Linked DNA regions of Lytechinus pictus. Each later gene encodes a partner of the first gene's protein in a complex. Links are inferred from orthologs where the notes say so. Each region holds a gene or a part of one and is shown in the gene's direction. Other genes may lie near its edges.

Region 1 (7,090 bases):
CTGTTGAATAGCCAAAGTTTTTCTAAATAATTTCTTTTAAATACATTGGACTTTAATTTTAGGAACAATATTAGGTTTCGCTTTAAGCATGAATAACGCAAGCCGAAAAAGCGCAATCTAAATTTCGTTACTATGAAGAGGGCATTTGATAACCAGATAAACAGTTCGATCTGAAATCTTTGAAATACTCACCTGAAAATGGCATATTTTAAGGACCATCAATAAGAATACACAAAAGTAATTCTCTTAAAGCAAACTAAATGCGAGTGCGAAGCGCCAGGTCGAGCTGCTGTGTACATTGATATAAAACATTCAATCACTTTTATTGTAAGCTTGAATACGATATACATCTCTCTAAAAATAATGCAAACGAACAAAAAATAAATAAGTAAAAAAAAAATAGGTAGGGGGCAGACATGGCGCACCGAGGAATTTCATAGAAAGCTGCGAGCGAGCAAAAGTTTTGAACTTTTTATTTTTTGTGATAGATTTTGACTAGGGTCCTATGCTCCCTCCCCGCAGCCCCACCCCCTGTATACGCCAGTGCTTAAAGGAGCAGTACTTGTCCCAGTTGAATGTGGAATAAAATGTATTGAGTCATTCAATTTGGAAAATTATATTACCAGATATGGAGAAAGCAAGGGAGAGGGTATAGGGATTTGGGTGAACCCGTTTATTTTAACGAAAATTGAAGCACGGCACTTAACATGATAACAGGTTATCACTTTAATCAGATCGAGGTCATTAATTATTGTGACTTCATTATACAGGATATTGGTTTCCACTCGATATACTTTTGAAAAGTCAGAGAATATATATTTTCAAAATCGAATCCCATGTAGGTGAAAACCAAAAATCACCCATCAAAACCTACTCCCGTTTCAATCGTCTATGATCTACAAAATCATATATAATCGGGAAGTGAATTTGAGTTGATAGCCCATATCTATCCATATCGTATATCAGAGCCAAAATAAATCTACCCAAACCAAGAACATATTGCCTGAAAAGATAAATGAAATATCTAGAAACACCCAGTATCGTAATGAGTAAAAAAAATTGAAGGAGGCTAGGCGTGGTTTGGTGTAAAGTTTTTAGAGCTGTGAGCGAAGCGAGCTAGCAAAGATTTTGACCCTTTTAATACAAAAATCTTATTTTGTGATAGACTTTGACACGATAATTAGAAAGTAATTTCATATTTTACACATTTTCTTTCATTCTCTTTCGCCCCCTTTTTTTCTTGATCGTGAAAATTTGTTGGGGTCCATCCCCTATCTGTATATAGGCCAGTGGAAACACCATGGCTTGTAATGCACATCCGTCTCACATAAATTTATCATTTTTTGAAACTTAAATTGCTGAACTGTCACACACAGACTCCTACATTCCAACCTTATCCCTGTATAAATTTAACCGAACCTTTGCATTTATATATTATTATTTTTTGTTGTTCTTGAATCTGGCCCTAGCCTAGTTCAACAAATCCTTGCAGTGCGCTTTGCGCGCCAAATAAGTAACTCATTTTTCCCCGTGCCCCCATATTACGATCCATGGTTCCCCATTGAATATTGTATATCTTTGAAGAGATGATCGAATTCGTGACAACAAAACGATGGCGTACATAACCTTCAGACACCCCCCCCCAAAAAAAAAAAATAAATAAATAAAAGTGACTCATCAATGATGTGGCTTAAAGCGAAGAGGCGCTATCTTTTACAGTGCGCGCTTGCGAAATTTCTTCTATCAAATTAATGACCTTATGTTTCTCAAATCTCCTGAAATATAAGGCCTTATCTACTGAAAATAATGATGAAAAATTAAAGTGATATGATAAAATAAATTGTATTGGTTCATATATTCCCTTTTTAGTGAGAGCGCCAATAAAAACCAATCAACATCAAAAAATAAATGAATAGACAAAAAATAAATAAATGAATAAAAAATATAATAAGAAGAAAACAAGTAATATTTGACACTAAAACATGGCTTGAATAGCTTCTCAAATAATCTTAGGCGAGACAAGCTATTTAAAATAGACTGACTCAGAGTTAGATGCATGGGAACACAGTTGGGCTTTTCGGCTAGAATTAGTGACGCAAATCAAATGAGATGGCGCTGCGTATGATACATCTTCATGGCAATGATGATGACGGAGATGATGATTATGGTGGTGGTGGTGATGATGATGAAGATGATGGTGGTGGTGGTGGTGGTGATGATGATGGTGGTGGTGATGATGATGGTGATGGTGGTGATGATGATGATGATGATGATGATGATGGTGGTGATGATGATGATGATGGTGATGATGATGATGATGATGATGATGATGATGGTGGTGGTGGTGGTGGTGGGGTGGTGATGATGATGATGGTGGTGGTGATGATGATGATGATGATGGTGATGATGATGATGATGATGATGGTGATGGTGGTGGTGATGGGGTAGTGATGATGTGGTGATGGTGGTGGTGGTGGGGTGATGATGATGATGATGTGGTGATGGTGGTGATGATGATGATGATGGTGATGATGATGATGATGGTGATGGTGGTGGTGGTGGTGGTGGTGGTGGTGGTGGTGATGGTGATGATGATGGTGGTGGTGGTGGTGGTGATGATGTTGATGATGGTGATGATGATGGTGATGGTGGTGGTGGTGGTGGGGTGGTGGTGATGATGATGTGGTGATGGTGGTGGTGATGATGACAATGATAATGATGATGATGACGGTGATGATGATTATGGTGGTGGTGGTGATGATGCTGATGATGATGATTGAATAAGCGATTATACAACGGTGTGCTGATTTATCTCTTCTCTTGTATTCCAGATTTGAAAAATTTTAGCAAAAAAAAGTAAAATGTCAACCTCTGGGGTTTGGACGATACGAAAAAAACAAACTTATACTGCCCAAAATTACCTTTCTCTCCCTTCTTCATTCTTTATTCTCTTTTCTCCCCCCCCCCCATTTCCTCCTATTTTTACTATTTGAAAAAAAAATGGGGGGAGGGGTGTGCATGGCACTGGGAAGCGGGGGTGCTCAACACCGGCCCGCAAGATTTCGCAGCACCCCTGGAAAATAATGTGGTTGGTATAATATTAAGCTTCATTCTGGAATGAACCCCTCTTCCTTTTGTTTGTTCTTTTAATTGCTTGTCAAATTTTCCTTGATCAAAATCATTTACATTTTGGAGTGACAGTCGTTTTTTTTTACTTGTCAAATATTTCTTTTAAATGCTAGCACCCCTTCTTAGACTCATTCCAAGGCTCTTGGGGCGTCGTCCTCTGTCCCACATGACACTCGCAATCTGCTAAGCATTTTTTTTTTGAAAAAAAACAATTGTCTCGTTTGAGGAGTGAGAGATGAAGGGGTATGTGAGCAGCATGAGGAACTTCTTGGAGTTTAAACCGGGTTAAAACAGTCAGATCCTCAAAGGTAAATCCAATTAAGGACCCTTCAGGCTTGTTCATTCCCCCCTTGCATATTACAATGTCACTGTCCATTACTCATATACAGTGGAAAGCTGATGATTAGGATGCGACAAAGAGATTAAAGTTTGCTGCAATCAGCTGAGCATTAATGTCCGATTGGACAATAATTTCATTTCCTTTCCAGACCATTCATTTTATATATGATTTCTTTTACCATCCCCCAAAAAATTGAATGCACTTATCAGAACATCAGTTAGTGTATTTATTATCATACTTAAAAAAAAATCTTTGATCTGCCTTTTAGGATTTCACATTCAAGCAAACTCAGTCATACATCTATTCTTTATGAAGTGAGATAATAAGTGTATTACACAATGGAGAGCATGGCATTTTCCTCATCCTTCATGATCGAAACCCTTTTTTCTGTAAAATTTATATGTAAATTTATCAATTTTTCATTATATTTTTTTCGTTTTCGCGTTTTTTTGTTTTGTTTTGTTTTGTTTGTTTGTTTGATTATTATTATTGTTTTTTTTTGGGGGGATGACGTCTTATTTTACACTCCCATGCCCCGCTTTGTGCAGTTATTGCCCGTGTGACAATCTGATTTCGTTTTTCTTTTTGCTATTGCTAACTTACAAACAAATATTCCTCCAAGAGCGTTGGACGTTTTGACGACACCGTAATTGAACACCTTGTCTGACTTGGTAAGTTTAATGATATAAATTTATGATATTTACATAGCAAACGTACTAAAATTTAGTGTTTCATGCGAGGAGATTGCGTTAAGTGAATTTGTGTGGTGAATCAAATGGATTTAAAGCTACTCATATATTGTTTTTCGAGCCATGTGACAATTTTCCTGCAGATCTCTTTCTCACCTCAGTCCCATTCGTCTTCGTTGGTGTAAGTTCGTGGCGAGTGAGGCCTGGGGCTGGGGTGCTAATGCAGTTTCGCACCGGCCGACTTTGATCAAATTTCCCCACCAGAAATTGTTCGCAAATGTCATGGCAAGTCTCTTGGTCACATTTCGAGGCCAATAAACAATACACATTTCCACCGTTTTTCAAATATCGTGATCAGGAATGGCTGTACTTCGCTTTGGCTCCGATCTCTAGAGTCTAGACTATATTATATTACTACGGCATATTACTATTAGTATTACTGTATTAGTATTAGCATGATTAGTAAGTACGTCATCAAACTTCTCAATCTCAGTCAGACATCGCTTTTCTTGGCTTCGTTGTAATTTTGATAAAGACTGAAGTTAGCAACAAAGATTGAACTGCGGCAACTCACTCGTTTGCTCGCCAAATGTTTGCACAGTTTTGGTTATTAACTTCAGTCCATATTAAAATTATGGCATAGCCACGGCAATGCGAAGCGTTCACGATCGTGATAATATTCAGAAAAGCGGTGGCCTTGGGTGAGCATATGGGCGTGGTATATCCCTACAGAGTTATACAAGACACAACTTGAATCCCACCCATGGGTGCATTACTGCCGCCGTGCACGGTAAAATCTAGACCAAAAGCTTCGGTCTCTGTTATGTTGGTTGTTCAGCTGAACTCCGTTGGCTTCACTCACCAAATACAGAGACCGAAGTTCTAGCGCGATCTGTACAGGGGACTCAATGGCCATATGTTTATGTGTATTAAGTTCGGATAATACAGGGCAGTGAAGTTGCGCGACAGCCGAGGTAAGTCACTGTTTTTGTTCCTTTTAACTTGCTTTTCCCCGTTTTTTGGCAATTAATGCCAAGAGGGAATATTAATTTGCATTTCGGTCGCGGTAATTTTCAAAAGTTTGATTCATTAAAGACAAAAATTGAAGAGCCCCGACGGGGGGATTTTGCATTGTAAGTCCCCTAATGGTGGCTGCACGATAGCGAGCCGTCTGTGTATGAGGAGAAATAAAATAAAAAAAATGTTAAAAAAACTCCTCGAAACAGACGGCTGCCAGCTGTCTAGGTAAAATCAAGGCACGATGCATGCAACTCTCTATGAGCTGATCCTTCCACAGAATACATTTAATTAGTAGAGTAAAACAATTTTGTGATATTAATGCTTAGTTCTAAGCTAGGGCGGCCCGAATGCGCGTGAATCGAGTCCCAGTTTCCTAACACGGGTAAGTATAGGGGTGTTACCGATTGGGGTCAAACGCGGTTCGGTGTACGAGGTTAGTATAGCATACTCATACTTACTAACCTCGTACTAGTATGAGTACTTTAATCCTTGCTTGCTGCCTGGAGATGGTGTACCAACCTCAAATTCAGTGTTTATTTGCATGAATAATTTGTTGAACAGTAAGTGTTCAACTTAGATAATTTGTATACAAAAAATACATGAATATAAAAGGCTTTCAAATTAAATTGAAAATGAGCTTCTATTCATGAATAAACATTACTTTTTCTAAAGGCTTAAACATTCAGAGTAAATCAACTGAGCCATGGAATCAACATGAAGAAAAGAACATTGCAAATAGTATTGTATAAGGAATGCAAAGCAGGAGATGAAATGATGGCACTGAAGAGGGAATGTGAAGCATGAGATAAGAATGTAAATCAATGGCAAAAAGAAGCTGCTGAAAACTGCTTATCTAATAAAAGAGAGCCAATGGAGTAAATTATAAAGTCAAAAGGGGGCCTAAGCTTTCGATCCTAGCAGAATCTTCGTCGGAGGCAAAATGACAAACATATAAAGTGGAACAACCATAATATAGACCACAAACAAGCTACAGCAACACTAGAAACAAGGAGACAAAAGGGGCATTAGTGAGTAGAGAAGACCAATCAGGTTAGTGAAGGGGATGAAAGAAAAGGAGTAGGCAGACACAAAGGGAAGTTAGTGTAAGTAAGGCCAAGAGGGATTAAGATAATGAGGCAGGCAACATCAAACAGGATCTGGAACAAAACAGTGATAGAGGGATGAATAACTAGAGAATTGGTGAGAGGTGGGTCAAACAGGTTACAAAGAAAGGCTTAATAAACTGGTGCATAAGAGTGGGGGGAAAAAAGAAGAAAAAGAATGGGGAACAACTGATAATGTGCAAAAGACATATAAGTATATATGATAAAGCATTAAACAAACTAAGAGAAGAAGGTAAGTGTAAATATGTATCTATAAGTGATATGTATATAAATATATCCAAAAAAGAAATGTATATGAAAAAATATATAAATATATACACATATGGTGTAACTGATATGGTAATCCGCTAGGTGTGACGGGAAAAAACATAAGACTATATAGTAGGAAAGAAAAAAAATCTGTATATGTGAAAAAGAGGAAGCAAATTGCCTAAAAAGGTAAAAGCAAATATAGAGGAGAGGGGGTGTATTATGAAGAAACCATAGTATACATGTAAATAAGCAAATGTGGTAAATCTAAAAGAGGTGAGTGGAGAAAAAACAAATATATATATATATATATATATATATATATATAATAATAATTATATCGCCTGAATAAGGAAGGAAAAATTGGAGCTGAGCTTGTATGAGATATGGGAGGAAAGTAGAGTAAGAAACTATAATGTAACTATTCAAAAGAGCTGAGGGGAAAAATTATATGTATATATAAATTGAAAGTGGATAGGAAAGAAAAATCAGTCGTTCCCCTCTTGGATGTTCAGGCCATGAGGTTGGGTGGTGCGAAG
Region 2 (7,513 bases), about 11 Mb from region 1:
AAACATATCAGCTCTTTTTAAACTGTGATCCATATCCACGGTACCTCACAATTTCCCTACAAAGTGCTTGAAATACAGAGTTTAAATTGACCCTTTTTCAGATCGGAATATCATATATTTTTAGCTCGCGCTTTGCGCTCACTTTATTGATTTTCATAATAAGAAAGGTATTTAGAATACCCAAATTCTAGGTCAAAATCTGAAACACGCGTTTCACGTTTCTTCAGAAACGCAGCTAGTTCTCTATTTAAATCATTATCCAGTTTCAGATCACAGTATCAAAAATTGTCTGCATGCTCGCGCTTTGCGCTCGCATTATTAATGTAGGAAACTTTCCAATTAGGCCTACTCATCCTTTTCATGATTTACAAAACATGAATAGAGTGTCCAGAATTTTTCCGCTCGCGCTTTGCGCTCGCATCAATTGTTTAGTTATATACTTATCCTTTTCACGATTACAAAAAGTGCTTAGAATTTCAATTTTTCAGGTAGATATGTCAAAATTTTCAGATCGCTCTAAAAATATGTAACATCTTCATGGCTATAAAGCAGCCGTTAACAGATCCTTTTTTTGATCAGATCAAAACGTATATTAAAAAAAAAAAAAAAAAATTATGTTCGCGCTTTGCGCTCGCATTATTAATATAGGAAGATTTCCAATTACTCATCCTTTTCATGATTTACAAAATATGAATCGAGTGTCCCATTTTTAGGTTTAATCTAGATTTTTTCAGCTCGTGCTTTGTGCTCGCATCAATTATTTAGTTATATACTTATCGTTTTTCATTCTTCAGGTAAAAATGTCAAAATTTTCAGCTCGCGCTTCACGCTCGCATTATTTGATAGTTGAAATATGTAACGTCTTCGTGGCTAAGAAGCTGCCGTTAACAGATCCTTTTTTTATCAGATCAAAACGCATATATTAAAAATTTCTGCTCGCGCTTCGCGCTCGCACTTTTTAAATAAGGCTTATGATATTATATGAATGTATATACATATATAAAGCTTAGAAGTGACCATTAGGACTACTCGTCAAAGAAACAAACAAAAATTAACTTCGAGCGGCAGATCGGGGAAAATGTGGCTGAAAAAAAATTCCGCCCCCCTATTGGCGAAGGCTGGATCCGCCCCTGACATATGTATATATTCCATAGAGATATATATCTCTATGATATATTCAGAAAACTGATATGAAATCTGTGGCGTACAGATGGGGGGCTTGGGGCGCTTGCCCCCAATTTTCCACGACCAAGAAAAAAGGAAGAGAAAAGGAAAGAGACCGGGGAAAGAGAGAAGGGTGAAACTAATGGCTTAATAGATTAGGCCCTACATGTATAGGTCGACATGTAGGCCTATTTTGACAATATATATATATATCACAATGAAAATCGGCTATTTGGGAAACAATGTCTAAATTTTTGCTAGCTTGCTTCGCTTGCTCGCAATTTGTTATAATTTTATCTGATACATCATATCGATCTGGCCACTCAAATATTTATACTTACGCTACTGTTATTATTTTGTGCCGTATTTCACAAACAGGCTTTCTGAAGTCCTGAATAATATCGGTGGATCAATGTTATTGAAAATATAGAGCGTACAGGTATGTGGAAACTGAAACTTTTACCCAATGTAGGGATACAGGTAAAGTTAATTGCCCTATAAACAGAAACACCTTACCACCATGTCACAAAAGGTTATAGGTAATGATTTTATATTTTTATCATCCTTGGGTATGAACGAATATGCAACATTTAAGAGGGACATTTTGGGCTTAAAATTCACTAAGATCATACATATTTCAATGATGCGAGCGCGAAGCGCGAGCTGAAAATTTTTGATAATAGAACAGAAAAAGGGACATTTTAAGGACTGTTTTCAGTTAGGAATTCATGAAGAGCAGAATATCTCACCAATCCACTAATGCGAACGTAAGCCTAGACTGTGCATGTTTTTTTATGTGTATATAGACCTTAAAAGGGGGAATCACTTCAAGTATAGTCATGATATGTCACTATTATACACATGGGCGGAAATCCCAGGGGGGACAGGGGGGACGTGTCCCCCCTACCAAAAATAGTAGGGGGGACACAATATCAAATGTCCCCCCTACTATTTTTGGTCTTTTATGATGGAAAAAAATGCATCATTCACATTCGAAATAATACATGTCTTTTGAACTAAATGACCTTACATTTTGGGTGAAAACTTTTTTTTTGCTTGTCAAATTTTCCAGAGTGAATAAAATAAGATGAGGGGAAGACTTGGAAAATAAAAAGAATCTTTCATGTCACTATATAAAATTTTCGGTCGCGCTTCGCGCTCGCATTGCCTGTTAGGTGATTGTTCAACATGGATCTTAAATATCAAGTTTGGAAGTCAATATACATTACACATTTCACCTCGGAAATCGAACTTTCATTATTTTGTGTGATTAACAAACTGATTTTTAAAAGGTGCTCTGTTAAAATGATAGCTTTATGGTCTGAATATTGAAATTTTCTGCTCGTGCTGAGCGCTCGCAAATTTCGATTTATTAAGTACCTATTATTTTGCGCTCGCATTAATGGTAAAATTTTTTTTTTAACTGATGCATTCTATTCAGAATTACAAAAGTGCTTGAAATGTCCAGTTTTCAGGCCATAATATCATCAGATTCCCCCCCCCCTCATTAGGCATTAATAAATAAGATATTAATTTAATGATTAAATTGTCCCTTTTGTTTCATCTCGCGCTTAGCAAGAGGGATAGTAAGATAGTCATCATTTTCATATGACATGTCCTAAGGATGTCCCAGTCCTATGTCAAATCTCAAATAATAATGAAAAATATCAGCTCTTTATTAAGTACGATCCATATCCACCTCACGATTTTCCTACAAAGTGCTTGAAATAAATAGCTGAAATTAACTTTTTTTTTCAGATTGGAATATCATATATTTTAAGCTCGCGCTTCGCGCTCGCTCTGATTTTTCATAATAAAAGATGTGTAGAATGCCTAGATTCTAGGTCTGAATATGAAACACGCCCGCGCATGTTTATTCAGATACTCAACTTGTTCTATATTTAAATCGTTATCCAGTTTCAGATCACAATATCAAAAACTCTGCTCGCGCTTTGTGCTCGCATTATTAATGTAGGAAGATCCCCTATTACTCATTCTTTTCATGATTTACAAAACATGAATAGAGTGTGTCGTTTTTAGGTCTAAATCTCGATTTTTTTTTCCGCTCGCGCTTCGCGCTCGCATCAATTGTTTAATTATATGCCTATCTGTTTGAATTACAAAAAGTGCTTAGAATTTTCATTCCTTAGGTAAAAATGTCAAAAAATTTCAACTCGCGCTTCGCACTCGCATTATTTAATTGTTGAAATATGTAACGTCTTCATGGCTAACTACAAGCAGTCTGTAACAGGTACCTTATCCATCAGTTCATTTCTGCTAGCGCTTCACGTTCGTAGTAATTATTCATTTACATACACATCTTTTTCAGGATAGCAAACATTGCCCAGAATGTTCAAAATTTTAGGAAAAAATACATAAAACCCCCCCCCCCCTAAACAAAACCAAAAAAAAATTTGCTCGCGCTTCGCGCTCGCATTATATAAATATTGATTATGATATTATATATTTATGTTGATTTATAAGAATAAAGCTAAAAAGTGACCACGAAGACTACCCCTTTAATGAAACAAACAAAAATCATCATCGAGCGGCCAATCGGGGATTAAAATATGGCTGAACCCCCCCCCCTATTGGCGAAGGCTGGATCCGCCCCTGTGGTCCCCCCTACCTTTCGGGACAGATTTCCGCCCATGATTATACATAAAACAATAATAACTGTAAGTGCCGGGAAATATTTGGTGTATATTAATTGACTTGAAAACGAAATGTTTTAGTAGAACAGGACTATGTATCTCATTAAACAGATAATGCGAGCACCAGGAAGGCCAGGCTCTAATAATTATGTTTCATAAAGGATGAAAAAAAAGTAATATAATATATATAAATAAATATAATATAATACAATATGATATGATATGATAATGATATAATATAATACAATATAATATGATATACTATAATATAATATAATATAATAGAATAGAATAGAATAGAATAGAATAGAATAGAATAGAATATAATATAATATAATATAATATAATATAATATAATATAATATAATATAATATAATATAATATAATATAATATAATATAATATAATATAATATAATATAATATAATATAATACAATACAATACAATACAATACAATAATATACTATATTATATTTTGGATCAAAAATTTATCCTCTGGTCATTGGCTCAAAGAGCTTCACGTGATTATGTGTATTTTCAACTATTTTGGAATGTTGGCAGCTAGGCATACTATTTGGGAAAATTACGTCATTTTTGTGACGTAATTTCCCCAAATAGTAAAACTATTTGGGGAAATGACGTCACGGCGCCATACGCCTGATGCGCGTGATATCAAAATCACCAACATTCAGCGGGGTATACGAGAGCTCGAGTGCTTACCATGGGCGACTCTCGCGACGTGGCGACTACGTTTTTTAATGTTTAGACTACAGTTTATGCTTTGACTTTTTCAGACATTTTCATTGACTATTAAAACTTGGATTTCATTAAAATTTGATATTATTTAAGAAAAGAGCACAAGACCATCAGAGTGACAAGAGAGGATAAAAGGTAAGCCATTATTCTGTTTTTTCCTTTTGTTTAAAATTTTTAATCCAAAATATAAAACAAATATACTCTGCCATAATTTCGAGTTTCTGGTTAAAACTATGGGCCTCGGTGCCTCCAATAGTACCATTCACTTCGGGGCTGCGCCCCTCAGTGAATAGTACTATTCTGGAGTCACCTCTTGCCCATAGTTTTAACCAGAAACTCTCAAGGCAAAGTATATTTGTATACTATACTATACTATACTATACTATACTATACTATACTATAATATAATATAATATAATATAATATAATATAATATAATATAATATAATATAATATAATATAATATAATATAATATAATATAATATAATATAATATAATATAATATAATATAATATAATATAGTATAATATACAATAATTTCTTCTCCCCCACTACGTTTCTCTTTCTTTCTCCCTCCTTTTCTCCTTTTTTGGCCAGCTTGGGGGGGGGGGGGGTGCACGTGCCCCCGCGTAGTTACTCCACTGCGTAACGGTATGCATGCCGTGAGGAGTTGTGGGGGGAAGGGGGTAAAAAAGGTGTATTATCACTTGGTCTAATGCCAAATCGTCCATAAATATACCAACTCGTCTACTAGCTATCATTTGGTCTACCATCAGTTCGTCCACTATCTGCATTGGTCTAATTGCCATTTTGTTCACTCACCATTTCGTCTAATAACCAATTGGTCCAATCAGTAGTGGACCGTGACCCGGAGGAGACTAAGCATTGGAGGGGCACTGTATTGTTTGTGAACAATGTTGTGCCCCTCCAATGCTTTGTCTCCTCCGGGTCACGGTCCGCCACTGGGTCCAATAGCCAAAATAATAGTCCATATACCATTTTGTCTAATTGGAATATATAACGATGTTAATTGCACGAAATGAAAGAAAATTAAATGGATTTTAGACCAAATGGTTAAACGAAATGGTCAGACGATCTAGTGATGATTGGACCAAATGTTTTTTGGACCGAATGGTTGTTATAGGAGAAATGTTGATGGACAGAATGGCATTAGAGTAGACTAAATGAAGTTAGACCATGTGATGAGTGGACGATTGTGTTGCAATAGACGAATTGGCAATTTATATACCGTAAAAAGGTTGAGTGATAATACATTACACAAATCATAGAAGATTATGAATATAGATTTAGAGAAATAAGGTAATAATTTTCACGAGGAATTAAAGTATATCATTCATAAAAGAATCTGCTATCAAATTACCCCCCAAAAAAAAACAAGGAAAAGAAAAGGAAATAAAATAAAATAGAAACTACCATGTATTCTTTCATCACCGATATTTCTAGCCCGCAGCTTCAATTCGATGATCACGCCCTCTCCGTTGAAGTGCACTAGAGGGTAAACATGGATGGGAGTGCAGGTGAATATTCAATTAAAAATGCCTTAAATTGTTATTCATTGTATGATATACGAATTACTATAGTTGTTTGATGTGATTCAACATTATCATGAATTGTGTATGAGTTCTGTTGTTGAAGTATGTTGTATAAATTGTTGCGAGTGGGTTTTGGTGATCAACGTGGACGTGAAAAACGGTCGACCACGCGCACGTGGCTTCGTGAGTACCCGCTGCGCTGCATGGCTCAATTTGGATGGGCCAGCGGAGCGGGCGGGGACTGCATAAACTGGTGGACTGTTTGGTATAATGCTGTTGATTAACAATTGCGGGCACAATTGCATGGTGATACAATACTGAACATGCTGAAAGCACATTAATTTTCTGAATTTCTTGCCAGCCCCACACCTCCATTTAACTATTTTAAGTTAATTTTGTCATTTTTTTGCCAATTTAGGTTTCTTTTTACCAATTAAAAAATAGTCACTAGCACTTTTTAGCAGTAGAGCACAACGAACAATTGTCCATAGACTGTGTACAACGGATAGATCGTCTCCGCACAGCGATTCGAAGACCGCTGATTGGTCAATCGCGCAGACCACGTCATGACCACTTGGTCCCAAAAATAATTCCTTCGGACTGTGTGCCGAAGTATCGATAGCGATAACGATATCCGGTCACGTTGTGTACACGGAAAATGGACTTGGTCCGTGATCGGATCACTCCGGTATCGATCGAAAATTATCGAAACTCTGCAATTTCATGCATATTCACGCGACGCTCCGAAACCCGGAAGCCAATTGACTTTGAGTACGTTGCGATAGACTCTACAAATTCCAATGAACACAATGACATACAGACGCTAATTCGTAAGATTTTGACGGAAAAGCAAGAAGTAATCGAAATTCACTTACCTGTGTGGTATGGGTGAGAAAATAGATCCTCCGAAAATACCTTTCATAATTCATATAAAATATAGGAAAGTGAAATTCTAGGCCGATTTTGCTAGGAGGTGATAGAGAATTGCACACTTGTTTTGGTGGAATACTGTGTGGGGAAATGGAAGGCTTGCACTGCGCATGCTTACTATATTTTCATTCATAAATTGGCTCTCGGCAGTGGCTGGATGACGTCATGTAATAAGCAAAAATGTACACGACCGCTACGTTCACGCTCCGCTATCCGTTGTACACAATTGTTCGCTGTGTAGAGGTGCACGGCCAATATTATTTGGAGACTGTCTCCAATGTGGGAGATTATCTCCAATATCAGAGACTTTTGTAAAGAATTTGGGTATCCAATTTCCAGATTTCAGAGACAGTCTCCAGTTTTGGAGTCCAATTTCCTTTGTTTACATTTGCTGCAAAAGGATTAACTTGGCGGCAAATAAAAATGTGATAGGCCTAAGCAGATTCCTCATAAA

The links.
Region 2: telomerase Cajal body protein 1-like (region 1) and H/ACA ribonucleoprotein complex subunit DKC1-like share a complex: the UniProt entries of both Homo sapiens proteins name them as parts of the telomerase holoenzyme complex. The link is inferred for Lytechinus pictus from reciprocal best matches to the Homo sapiens genes WRAP53 and DKC1.

What each region holds. Positions count from the first base shown.
Region 1 is NC_087260.1:24,212,010-24,219,099, reverse strand, and holds the start of telomerase Cajal body protein 1-like, read left to right. Parts: upstream 1-4,067; 5' UTR 4,068-4,140; intron 4,141-7,090. UniProt on the Homo sapiens protein: RNA chaperone that plays a key role in telomere maintenance and RNA localization to Cajal bodies. Specifically recognizes and binds the Cajal body box (CAB box) present in both small Cajal body RNAs (scaRNAs) and telomerase RNA template component (TERC).
Region 2 is NC_087260.1:13,295,270-13,302,782, reverse strand, and holds the start of H/ACA ribonucleoprotein complex subunit DKC1-like, read left to right. Parts: upstream 1-4,502; 5' UTR 4,503-4,710; intron 4,711-6,040; 5' UTR 6,041-6,098; coding exon 6,099-6,114; intron 6,115-7,513.